Linked DNA regions of Rattus norvegicus. The protein of the gene in region 2 binds, or shares a complex with, the protein of the main gene of each other region. Links are inferred from orthologs where the notes say so. Each region holds a gene or a part of one and is shown on either strand. Other genes may lie near its edges.

Region 1 (3,500 bases), on a different chromosome or scaffold from region 2:
GTTTATGAGGGAGGCTAGAGTCCAGGGTCCTGTGCCCACCAAGGGCAGCAGATGGGCTGTGGAAGCCTCCAGAGCACCATGCATGGTGGGATAATGGAGGGGTCACCCCAGACCCAGCAGGGGCAAAGAGCCATGCCAGGGCAGAGGGTCTGACTGAGCACTCATGAACTGAGGATGGCCCTTTCCTCCAGACCTGGAAACACCACCCCACCCTCCCCACCACGCGGTTCCTGTGTAACTAAAACAGCACCCAGGGGGCACTCAGGCCCCTCCTTGCCCTTCGCAGTTGATAGAGAATCATAATCAACTCAGCATTGGCTCGTGAAATTAACTGGGGACTCGAGGGTCACAGATTCATTTAAGAGAGGCGGGGTCTGTAGCCACATGGAAGGCTGCGTCTCACCCTCTTCCCCATTACAGATGTGCACATACATGAACATACCACACCATGCACCATGCCAAGGTGTGCAGCTCAGTTTCTTTCTGCCCTTCCCTCCCTGCTGACTCCTAAGGACAGGGAAAGGCCCCAGGCTGCCGCTTGCTGGCCAGAGGCAGTGGCCCTGCATCCCCCGCTGGCCCACCTCCTGCAGCTGAATCATCTCGGCCTCCATGCTCTTGAGCTTCTTCTCATTCTCCTTGGCCTGGGCCAGGATCTCCTCCCGGGAGGCTCGCGTGTCGTCCAGCTCCCGCATGCAGTCCTTCATCTGGGCCTGTGTGAAGGAGGCGTCAGCATCGCCAACTACTTCCGCCTGCTCGGGGTCTTGACCCCTTAAGGGGCCATGTCCCCAACAGTGACCTGCTCTACGCCTGGCATGGTTTTAGCCAACCTTTTTATAAACAGGCAAAAAAGTAACCAAAGGCAAGTGGCTCTGCACGTCTGTCTTCCTGACTAGACTTAGAAGGTGGCTCTTCAGGGCACAGACCCCTGCACACAGTGTAACCTGGGCCCGTCTGCCTGCTCTAACTTCCTGTTGGCTTGCAGCTAATGCCAGCGGCATCATCCAATGTGTCGTCCATGACGTCCAGTCAGTGACCAGGGAAAAGCAGGGACAAGACACGAAGTATGCTTCCTGCCAGGTAAGGCAACAACGAAGCGGAGAGCTCGGTCCCCTGTCCCCTGATCTGAAGCAGACAGGCCTCACGATGGCATACACCCTGAGGGCAGAGTGTGACTCCTGTTATGTGTGACTCTTAAAAACGCCATCAGCAAGCTGACCTTCTTGCTCACAGCCTTGCCCACGTGATGGTTAATCTTTCTTCCTGCTGCTACACTCGGCATGAATGGGCACACAAGAGCTGTTTGTACTAATGTTAGTCTTTGACCACACTGGTGAGTGAAAACTGCTCCCAAGTGTATGTCTCAAGCTCTGAGCCACTTCTCAGAGCCACCAGCTTAGACCATCCATCACTGAACACTCCGGTCTCTTCCTGAAGCCTGAGTGTGTGTGGCCGCCATCCTTGACTCTACTGCACGTCCAGCTACCTTTCCTCTTGACTTAATGGACTCAGCCCCCTCTTGTTACTGTGTCCCTTCTGAGCCCGAGCCTCACCTGTGAGACAGGCCCCGACTCCCAGCCTCTACCTGTCCCCATCTGTGACCAGCCTGGGTCTGCCTCACCTGAAGCTTCCGTAGCTGTTTGATGGCCTCCTCCCGGTTCTTGTTGGCTGTGTCTATGTGAGCCTCCAGGTCCTTCAGATCCATCTCTAGTTTCTTGCGAGCAGCCATGGCAATGGACCGCTGCTTCCTCTCATCCTCCAGCTCCGCCTCCATCTCCCGCACCTGAGGAACAGCAGGGCTCATGCTTAGCGCTCACTGCTGAGCACTGAGTTCAGGTGAGCTCAGACCAGTTCTGGGCTGTCCATGGGGCCACCCGAGACAAAGTACAAAGTAAAATTGCAGAGCCCTAAGACAGAGTCTGAGAAACAAGGCAGTGGAAAATGGTCCAGGAGCCCCTCCGAGGCCCAGGTGTTGCACAGGGGGACAGAGATGCAGTCCCTGGTGTCCCTCCCCATAGCGAGGAGGCCATACGCACCTGTCTGACCAGCTGCTTCTTCTTCTCCTCGCTCTGTTCATCCCGGCCCTGCAGATCCCGCTCAAACTGGGCCTTCATGGCCTGCAGGTTCACCTCCAGACGGAGCTTGGCATCCTCAGTGGCCTGAAGCTCATCCTCCAGCTCCTCCAGCTGGGTCTTCATCTCCTCGACCTGCTGCTCCAATGCCCTCTTGGACTTCTCCAGCTCATGGACCTAGCAGAGCCCCATGTTAGTTACAGACACGAACAGCTAGGGGCCCTGAGCTCCAACCACACACACCAGGCTCCCCCGAACCCAGGACGCCAGCCCAGCACTCACGCTCTTGCCCACGTCATCCTTGGAGCTCATGAGGTCCTCCATCTCCGTGCGGAACTGCTTGTTGAGCCGTTCTAGCTCTGCCTTCTGCTCCATGGCCTCCTCAAGTGCCCGGGCCAGTGACAGTGCCTTTGTCTCCTTCTCACGGGCCTCAGCCTCAGCTCGGTCTCGCTCCTCAGCATACTTGGCTGAGATGGTCTTCTCCTCAGCTAGGAGCTAGGGAAAGAAGTCTTGCTGTGAGGCTGAGACTGAAGACCACTACCCTACGGCCAGACCCAGACCAACAGGCCCAAGGCTGCTACCCAGGGGCTCGCTGGCTCCCGGGACGGCAAGGACTCCTGTAACACTGTACTTTGATCTTTGTTTAAATTTTTAACGACTTTCATCTGTGTGTGCACACACATGCACACACAAACGTGCATGTACACATACATGTGCATGTGCTGGTGTCACTAGAAGCCAGGAGAGTATGTTGGACCTCATAGAGCCACAGTTACAGGTGGCTGTGAACTGCTGGGTGATAGGAATGAAACTCATCTCTTAGCAGCTGAACATCTCTGCAATCTCTCTGCTCAGTCCTTCATTTATGTTACCCAGTGAGGATGCCCACATTCCTGAAAAGCCGTGCTCAAAAGCTTAAATCCCACGTGTGGTCCTTCTCCAAAGATGGCTGCACCACTGTACCTGTTCTATGGGGCCCACCCTCACTATTCCTCACCTCCCTGCCTTCCTAGGTTCTCTGCCCACCTTCACCTGCTCCACAGATTGGGCCTCTCATAAAGAACATTACTTAGAGGTTGAAGGCTGTAGTCTCTCAAAGCAGCCATTCAGCTCTGCCACTTATCACACTAGGAGCCAGTGGCAGCATGTAAACAAGTGTAGCTACATACAATGAAACTTTATCTGGAAAAACATGGGGACAGGAGATGGCTCCACAGGTAAATGACAGAAGATGGACTTGTGCAAGTTGCCCTCTGACCTCAGCACATGCATACATGCACACACACTAAATGACTAAGTGTAAGACAAACAGAAGTTTTAAGTCACAGCGGAGGGACTGGATTTGTCTACCACGTGTTGACCCAGTTGTTTTTTTACTATTATTCCATCTGACCCCAGTGTCTGCATCTCCATGGGGGAAGGAGGGCTGGC
Region 2 (4,175 bases):
CTATAAATGTTAGGGCTGAATGCCAGTCCACCTCCCCACCCTTCTCTGGCTTCAAGACTCCTGCCTCATGACTCAGGCAGGCCTGTTGTCTTCCCTCCAGACCCCAACCAGCAGCAGATGTGACCTTTAATTCCATCCCAACTTCAGTTTGAGCCCAGAGGCAGTACTAGAGAGAGGAGGGAGAACCGTGGGCTGGATAACATCCCACATCTGGAGCCTTTCAAGGCAAGCCTCTGGTGGTTTCTGCCTTTAGTGTTCCCAGAGTTTGCTTTGTTGCATGTACAGGAGCACGTGAACACACACAAACACACACACACATGCACGCATACACACAAATATACACTTGTAATGAACTCAGAATAAGTCACTCACCCCTCCCCAACCTTTTCTAGTTTGGCCCCCACAAAGCTCCAGGTCAACTTCCAGCCATCTCTGCCACCACCCTCCCTCAGCCCCACCCACCCACCCACAATCTCCAGTCTCTCAGACATAGTTTCAAAACTCTTTATTAAACTTGCTCAGCACTGTGCACATGTATGAAGAAGCCAGAGTAAGGCACTATGCTCACAGCCAACATGGAAGATTCCCCCACTGGCCCAACACTTCATCTGAGGAGTCTTCACTTCTTCCGGGGCTCCTTATCTGGGCAGCCCTCAAAGAATTCATTGCACATCATGGCAATGCAGGACAGGAAGACACAGTACTCCTGGAAGTCAACTTCATTGTCCCTGTTGCTGTCCAAGTTGTTCATCAGCTTCTGGAATGCAGCTTCGTCTGTCCTTCTCTGGAGGTAGAAGAGGTACAGTTAGACGCCACCTCCAGCCAGGAGCTCAGGAAGGCTTGCAGACACCGTGCTAGCCTCAGGGCTCAACTGTGAGATGAGCACATGGGCTAGCTGGGAAAGGATGTGACCACATCTTCCCCACGCTTGTTTTAACTATGTCTATAGGTAACTGTCATGACAAGGAGGTGTTAACTAAGATAAGGTGTCATTGAGGGGAAGATCTGCAGGCATTTGTGTGCCTCCACAATCATGTCTTCACAAGCAGAAACTCGATTTCTGTTGCACATCACCGGAAAGACTGTCCTGATCTAGGCTGTGCTTTCAGACACTGACTACCTAATGTGGTTTTCCTGTGCCACTTCAGTTAACTTCATTCTAAGCCTTGTCTCAACGGGGGGCTGGTGTGAAGTAGATGGTTCATTGTGGTTCCATACCAAGCGCCAGGAGTAGGGAGAGATATATATATATATATATATATATATATATATATATATATATATATATGTAGATAGATAGATAGATATAGATAGATGATATAGATATAGATAGATAGATAGATAGATAGATAGATAGATAGATAGATAGATAGATATCTCCAGCCCCAGCCTCCTCCTGGGGATGCATCACATATGCAATACACAGACAGGATCCACTCACCCCCAGGAAGCTAGGCAGCTCCCTGGTCAGTAGCTCCTTGAGCTCTGTCTTGTTCAGCTTGAACTTGTCACCCTCGTTGCCTGAGTATTTGTGGAAGGTGGACACTATTACATCCAGGGCCTCCTCCAAGGGTCTCGCCATGGTGACCGTTGAGACCTAGGGGCAGGAGACACAAAAGTAGCCTTCTCCAACCCACACCAACAGTGTGTTGAGAGCTGGATATATGTTGCTAGGCATCACTCAAGTCACACTCAGTCTGTCCCCGTTTTTAGTGCTCTACTCCAACCTACTCTCTAAGAGCACTTCCAGAGACCGACCTCACTCCCAGGGAGATCAGAGGAGTGGTACCCACTGATGGCAAGAAGCTCATATGTGCTTCAAGCTCTGAAACTTGCAAAACTTACCACTCAAACTCTAGAAATTCATGCCAGCAGCCTTCTGTGCCTCCCCCCCAGGCCTGGCCTCAACAACAGCAGTTTTCCATCCCTCACTCAGCTTACTCACTCCCCAACTCAACCACAAGCTCCAGCCTCTGACCCATTCTTCTCCCTCCCAGCGTTGGGCGCGGCTGCTGGCTGCCTGCCCAGGGGCCTACAGTGAGGGAAAAAACCCAGCTGCCTAGTAGGAGTGAGATGAAGTGGCAGAGGTTGGGGTACAAGGGGAGGGGGTGGGGAAGCCAGGCTCTCTTGGCCTAGGTGCTATATGTTCATAGGGCTATGAACTACTATGAACACAAATGCCTACAGGTGGGTGTTGAACAGGTGGCTCAGTAGGTAGAGGTGCTTGCCACCAAGCTCAATGACCTGAGTTTGATCTCCAGAGCCCACATGCTAGAAGGAACAGATTGACTCTCACAAGAAGTGCCCCTTGGCATTTGCCCCATCCCCACCCATACACTCGTACACACAAATAAAATAAGTGTAATTTAAACATCGTAAAACAAAAATGCCTGCTGATGCCTTCACTTTGCTTCCTGTACCTGAGTGTCCACACACTGGCTTGGATGACCCAGCAACATACCTATCCATGACAGTGGCTCCCAAGCACCAACATACACTATAGCAACATACAAGCAAGCCTCAGCATCTCAGAATCTCCGGGAGCCATTTATATACTGCTTGTTTTTCAGTTTTCATTCTTGTGCAACACACACACACACACACACACACACACACACACACACACACACACACACCTCCGTACCAGAATCTCTCATCTGGATCCGTTAAAGACTTCTGCCCTCCCCCCAGTACGCCCCCTTTCTCCTGTCCTAGCCTCAGCCTCTAAACTGCTAACAGTGCTATCAGGCCAACACGACTCACCAGACCAAGAGAGAGGAAGTGCTGAACAGAGAGGTTTGGGGAGAGCCCAACAATCTGACCTATTTATACCCTGCCATGCCCTGCCCATGCAGGGGATGGGGGAACATGGATACTGCTCTTGCTGTTGGTCGATGCGGGTAAGTGTCACAGCCCAGCCACCAGCCCAGCCAAGAGCTAGGCTTCCTGCTCCCTAGCAGGCACAATCAAGTAGTGAGTGCGCTCCAGTGGGCAGGGCAGAGACTTGGATGGGGTGGATACCACCAAGTAGCCGCAGTTCAGCTAGAATCTTAGGAAGCTTTGAGAAGGGACAACCTGTACATGAGGTGTGGGGCACAGAAAAGGAGATGCTGGTGTTATAGACAAGAGATGGGAAACTGCCCTGGAATTATCTGGCTGAGGAATTAAGGAGGTGACCCAGCCAGTGGGACAATGTCAGCCCTTCTCTCCAGCCTACACAGCTTCTTGTCACATCAGGAAGATCCAGGGTGGAGGCTAGCAAATCAGGAGGGACCTTGGGACCACCCCAGGTATTAAGTGGGAAATATCATAATGGAGTTAGGTGGTAGTGTGGCCTAGAGGTTTATGCATGGATGGAAGCTTGAGTAAGGGTATTGGGGATGACAGAAGCATTCGGGATTGAATGCTCAGCTTGGAGAAGAGAGTTAGAGAAGAAAGAGGTGAATAGGGAGTCAGGATTAATCTCTAAGGATATGGTACAAACTCAGGGGTTAAGTGAAGGTTAGAGGGGGTTTGACTCTGGGCTCCCACAACCGCATCCTCCTTGTATTGAGTACCTCCCAAGGAGCCCCTTGTTCTCCTAGAAAGCCCAAGATAAGGACTTCTGGTTCAAGACAGGGGACAGAGAGATGGAGACAGAGACCCTCCAGTCTCATCCAATGAGACCTTATGTTGCCCCCACCCTCCTATTGGACACTAAGATTTGAGCATCTCTACTGGGTCTGATGCTGGGTCCCACAACCGCATCCTCCTTGTATTGAGTACCTCCCAAGGAGCCCCTTGTTCTCCTAGAAAGCCCAAGATAAGGACTTCTAGTTCAAGACAGGGGACAGAGAGGTGGAGACAGAGACCCTCCAGTCTCATCCAATGAGACCTTGTGTTGCCCCCACCCTCCTATTGAACAGTAAGATTTGCACATCTCTACTGGGTCTGATGCTTTGGGGGTCCATCTTCAGTGGTAAGCCTTCTTTCTCCAGTGGTAAGGAGCATAAAGGAACAAGGACTCAGTCCCAAGACCCAGTGTGTCCCACCAGAAAAACCAAAGTAAGCCAAGATGACATTTCTTTATTGGGAGTTGAGGAGGCCCCTGCCACAGCAGTCCCAACTGTGTGCACATGCCTGAGCTTCCAGGTAAGAGCAGAGATGTTCTTCCCTTCCAAGAAGAGAAGCAGCAA
Region 3 (2,941 bases), on a different chromosome or scaffold from region 2:
GGAACTGTATTAAAGGGCCACAGCGTCAGGAAGGTTGAGAGCCACTGTTCTAAACACTAGTCAAGAAGATTCAGTTTGAGCCAAGACAGAGGAGGAGCCTAGTGGAAATGGAACATCTGGACCAGCAGCCCTTACCTTCATGGAGTCATACAGCCGGTCAGCAAAGTACAGGGGCTTGTTCTGAATGCACTGAACTGTGGAAAGGAGACACAGGTCAGGGGTGAGGCTGCTTTCCTGCCATGCATGAAGGAAGATGATGCCCTGGCCCTAAGACACTGACCAGAATGGGCCTGCCCCATGGATCCAGGATGTAGAAGACCAAGGAAAACTCAGAATCTCGTGAACCAGTAGGTTCTACCCACTGTGGTCTCTTCAATCATGAGATGCAGAGGTCAGTGATGCCCCAGTGTATATATGAGTGTCCCCATTATAGCCCTCTCTTCTCCAGCAACTTAGTCCTTCCTGGCAACTTAAGCCTGTTTCATGTCTTTAAATCTGCAGACAATCCTAAAGCTCTCCGAGACTTGCAGAAAGTCACCACACCTCCCAAGTCCCCATTGAAGGAAACACATAGCCATTCACTCCTGTCTCTGCCCTCTCTGCCGGCAAGGAAAGGCCACCCTTGCTCACCCAGGTTCAGGAAGGCGTTCTCCAGGTCTCCTTTGACCTCTTTCCTGATGCTCTCCAGCATGTCATAAGGACTGTAGCTCTTGTACCTTTCGAACACTAAGAGAAGGACAAATGATGTCAGAAGTGCCGGTCGGAGCCGCACGGACAGCCTATACAACCAGACAGCAGCAGCAGCAACGAAAACAAGAACCCAACACCTAAAGGTGATCCCCACGCATCCCAGGGGCTGGCAGTCATTTAGGGGCTGGAGGTCACCTTGGTGGACTAGAGATGATTTGTACCTGTCTTGCCAGATGACCCAGGTCTAGCTCCTATCCTTAATGGCTCTGCCTAGGCCACAGAGTTTAACCATCCCTCTGTGCCCTGACTGGACTCCATCTACGTGGATGTCATGGGAAACAGGATAGAGCCAGGGGTCATGTCCTGAACTTCAATAATCATGGCGAGAGCAAAGGATCCTCAGGTAAGGAGGGGAATTAGGAAGGGCCATGGAAACGGCCTGAGGTCCGTGTTTAGCCCCCCAAACCCAAAACCCATGTTTCAAAACAAACAAAAACAAACAAGCCAAGCATGATGGTGTGTGCTTGTAATCCCAGTGCTGAGAAGGCTGAGGCAGATGGGTGGCAGCTGTCTGTCCAGGCTGCCTAGCCTAGTGTTTGAACTCAAGGCCAATGAGTCTAAAAACCAAAACAACCACCCGGGGTCAATGGTTTCAAAGGTACGACACCGAAGGTTAACCTTGGCTCCCACATGCACTCCAAACACATGTGCACTCATATGAACATGCGCGCACACGCACGCGCGCGCACACGCGCGCGCACACACACACACACACACACAGTGAAACAAGCTAACATATCAAATATTGAACACATTTGGGGACGGAGGGTCCACAGTGAGAAAGGAGGCCAAATGGTTTGATAAAGGAAACTGAAAGAGTGAGTGGAGAACGAGCCTTGCTCTGGGAGCTCTGCACCTCACTGCAGCCTTTGCCACCTGAGAGCCTCCAGGCACTGAGACCCCGCTGGCACAGCACCCACCTTTCTGGAGGTGGCACACACTGCGCTCAGTCATGATGCTGATCCACTTGGGGACATCGGTTCCTTTCCTCTTCACCCCAGCATCATAGAGCTCCTGTGAGAGATGCAACCAACCAGGAGAAGTTAACCACACAACCCCCTAGCAGGCGTTACTCAAAAGCCCGTTCCCAGAAACATGTGAGCGCACAGGCCTGTGCTGCAGCTGGGACCCATCGTGTACCACATAGAGCAGGTGTGCTCAAACTTTTGGCTTCCCGGGGCCACACTAAGCTATCTCCCTAGGCCACAAAGCCCACTTCTAGCATTTATTAAAAAGCCTTTCTCTTACACTCGATGCACTCCCCAGACTATATAAGATTTTAAAACAGAGGCACATGATTTTGTCTGCCGCTCTTATGACTTGCTTTGAGATAACAGAGCCGCCGACCCCTTTGAGTGAGGCACGCCTCGTTCGCAGTTATCTAAAATAGCTTTATGAGGAGGTCACAGGCCCCTGTCATCTTCCTCTGTCCTCACTGAGTGGAGCAGGGAGCCTTCCTCTCCTGGTGTGCCTACCCCATCTGCTCCAGCTTCCCTAAGAGTTTAAGGTCAGGACCTAGCACTTCTATGCAATCAAAGCCTGAATGAGCCAATGGGACCTGGGTACAGATCTGATAATTAACCCCAGCATTACAAACATGGTTCCTGGAGACAAAGCTCTATGTTCAGATGGGCTGAGGCTTTAAAAGGCCCATTTCTCCCTTGGAAAGGACATTACTTAGTTTTACCCCTCCCACAGCTGTGGGCTGGACTCATGGACTCACTTCTAATGGTCAGAGTATGACAAGAGTGTATGACACTTGCGACTGAGTCATGAGAGCATGAGGGTTTCTGGATCCCTCTTGGGTCACTCACTCTAGGGAAGCCAGGGGCAATGTTGTTGGGGACATTCAAGCAGTCTGTGGAGGCCTGTGTGGAGGTATGCTAACATCTCTTGCCAAAAGTAAGTCACACATGAGCCATGTAGGGAAGATTCCCTTTGACCTGGTCATGCGCTCAGTAATTATAGCCCTAGCCAACATCTTATCTACAACCACATGAGAGGCCTTGAGCCAGAATTATCTGGTCAATCCAGTCTCCATCCCTGACCTGGAGAATCCGAGAGATAACAAATGTTAGCTTGAGGTCATTCGTTGTATATAAGTAAATGGTTGTGTGGGATACAACCCCCTCCAGATACACACGCCACGTAAAACTCAGCCAAGAAGCTTGGAACTTACCCGGGCATCCTG

Evidence for each region.
Region 1: the proteins of S100a4 (region 2) and Myh9 are in contact, whole or in part, in an NMR structure (PDB 2LNK), measured with the Homo sapiens proteins. The link is inferred for Rattus norvegicus from reciprocal best matches to the Homo sapiens genes S100A4 and MYH9. Residues at the interface, in NP_002952.1 of Homo sapiens: Leu38, Ser44, Phe45, Leu46, Gly47, Lys48, Arg49, Thr50, Asp51, Ala54, Phe55, Lys57, Leu58, Asn61, Leu62, Ser64, Gln73, Glu74, Cys76, Val77, Phe78, Ser80, Cys81, Ile82, Met84, Met85, Cys86, Glu88, Phe89, Phe90; in NP_002464.1 of Homo sapiens: Thr1906, Ala1909, Met1910, Glu1913, Val1914, Ser1915, Leu1917, Lys1918, Lys1920, Leu1921, Arg1922, Asp1925, Leu1926, Pro1927, Phe1928, Val1929, Val1930, Pro1931, Arg1932, Met1934, Ala1935.
Region 3: the proteins of S100a4 (region 2) and Anxa2 are in contact, whole or in part, in a crystal structure (PDB 5LPU), measured with the Homo sapiens proteins. The link is inferred for Rattus norvegicus from reciprocal best matches to the Homo sapiens genes S100A4 and ANXA2. Residues at the interface, in NP_002952.1 of Homo sapiens: Lys35, Leu38, Pro43, Ser44, Phe45, Leu46, Gly47, Lys48, Arg49, Thr50, Asp51, Ala54, Phe55, Lys57, Leu58, Asn61, Leu62, Gln73, Phe78, Cys81, Ile82, Met84, Met85, Glu88, Phe89, Phe93; in NP_001002857.1 of Homo sapiens: Leu13, Glu14, Pro21, Ser22, Ala23, Tyr24, Ser26, Val27, Lys28, Tyr30, Thr31, Asn32, Phe33, Glu36, Arg37, Leu40, Thr44, Gln69, Asp70, Phe73, Arg77, Arg78.

The regions. Positions count from the first base shown.
Region 1 is NC_086025.1:111,228,464-111,231,963, forward strand, and holds part of Myh9 (myosin-9), read right to left. Parts: intron 2,565-3,500; coding exon 2,352-2,564; intron 2,247-2,351; coding exon 2,034-2,246; intron 1,781-2,033; coding exon 1,619-1,780; intron 711-1,618; coding exon 582-710; intron 1-581. UniProt on the Homo sapiens protein: Cellular myosin that appears to play a role in cytokinesis, cell shape, and specialized functions such as secretion and capping. Required for cortical actin clearance prior to oocyte exocytosis. Promotes cell motility in conjunction with S100A4.
Region 2 is NC_086020.1:178,387,154-178,391,328, reverse strand, and holds S100a4 (protein S100-A4), read right to left. Parts: upstream 2,801-4,175; 5' UTR 2,764-2,800; intron 1,968-2,763; exon of another isoform or gene 1,846-1,967; intron 1,598-1,845; 5' UTR 1,583-1,597; coding exon 1,442-1,582; intron 785-1,441; coding exon 620-784; 3' UTR 492-619; downstream 1-491. UniProt on the Homo sapiens protein: Calcium-binding protein that plays a role in various cellular processes including motility, angiogenesis, cell differentiation, apoptosis, and autophagy.
Region 3 is NC_086026.1:79,017,252-79,020,192, reverse strand, and holds part of Anxa2 (annexin A2), read right to left. Parts: coding exon 2,930-2,941; intron 1,765-2,929; coding exon 1,671-1,764; intron 727-1,670; coding exon 631-726; intron 195-630; coding exon 136-194; intron 1-135. UniProt on the Homo sapiens protein: Calcium-regulated membrane-binding protein whose affinity for calcium is greatly enhanced by anionic phospholipids. It binds two calcium ions with high affinity. May be involved in heat-stress response.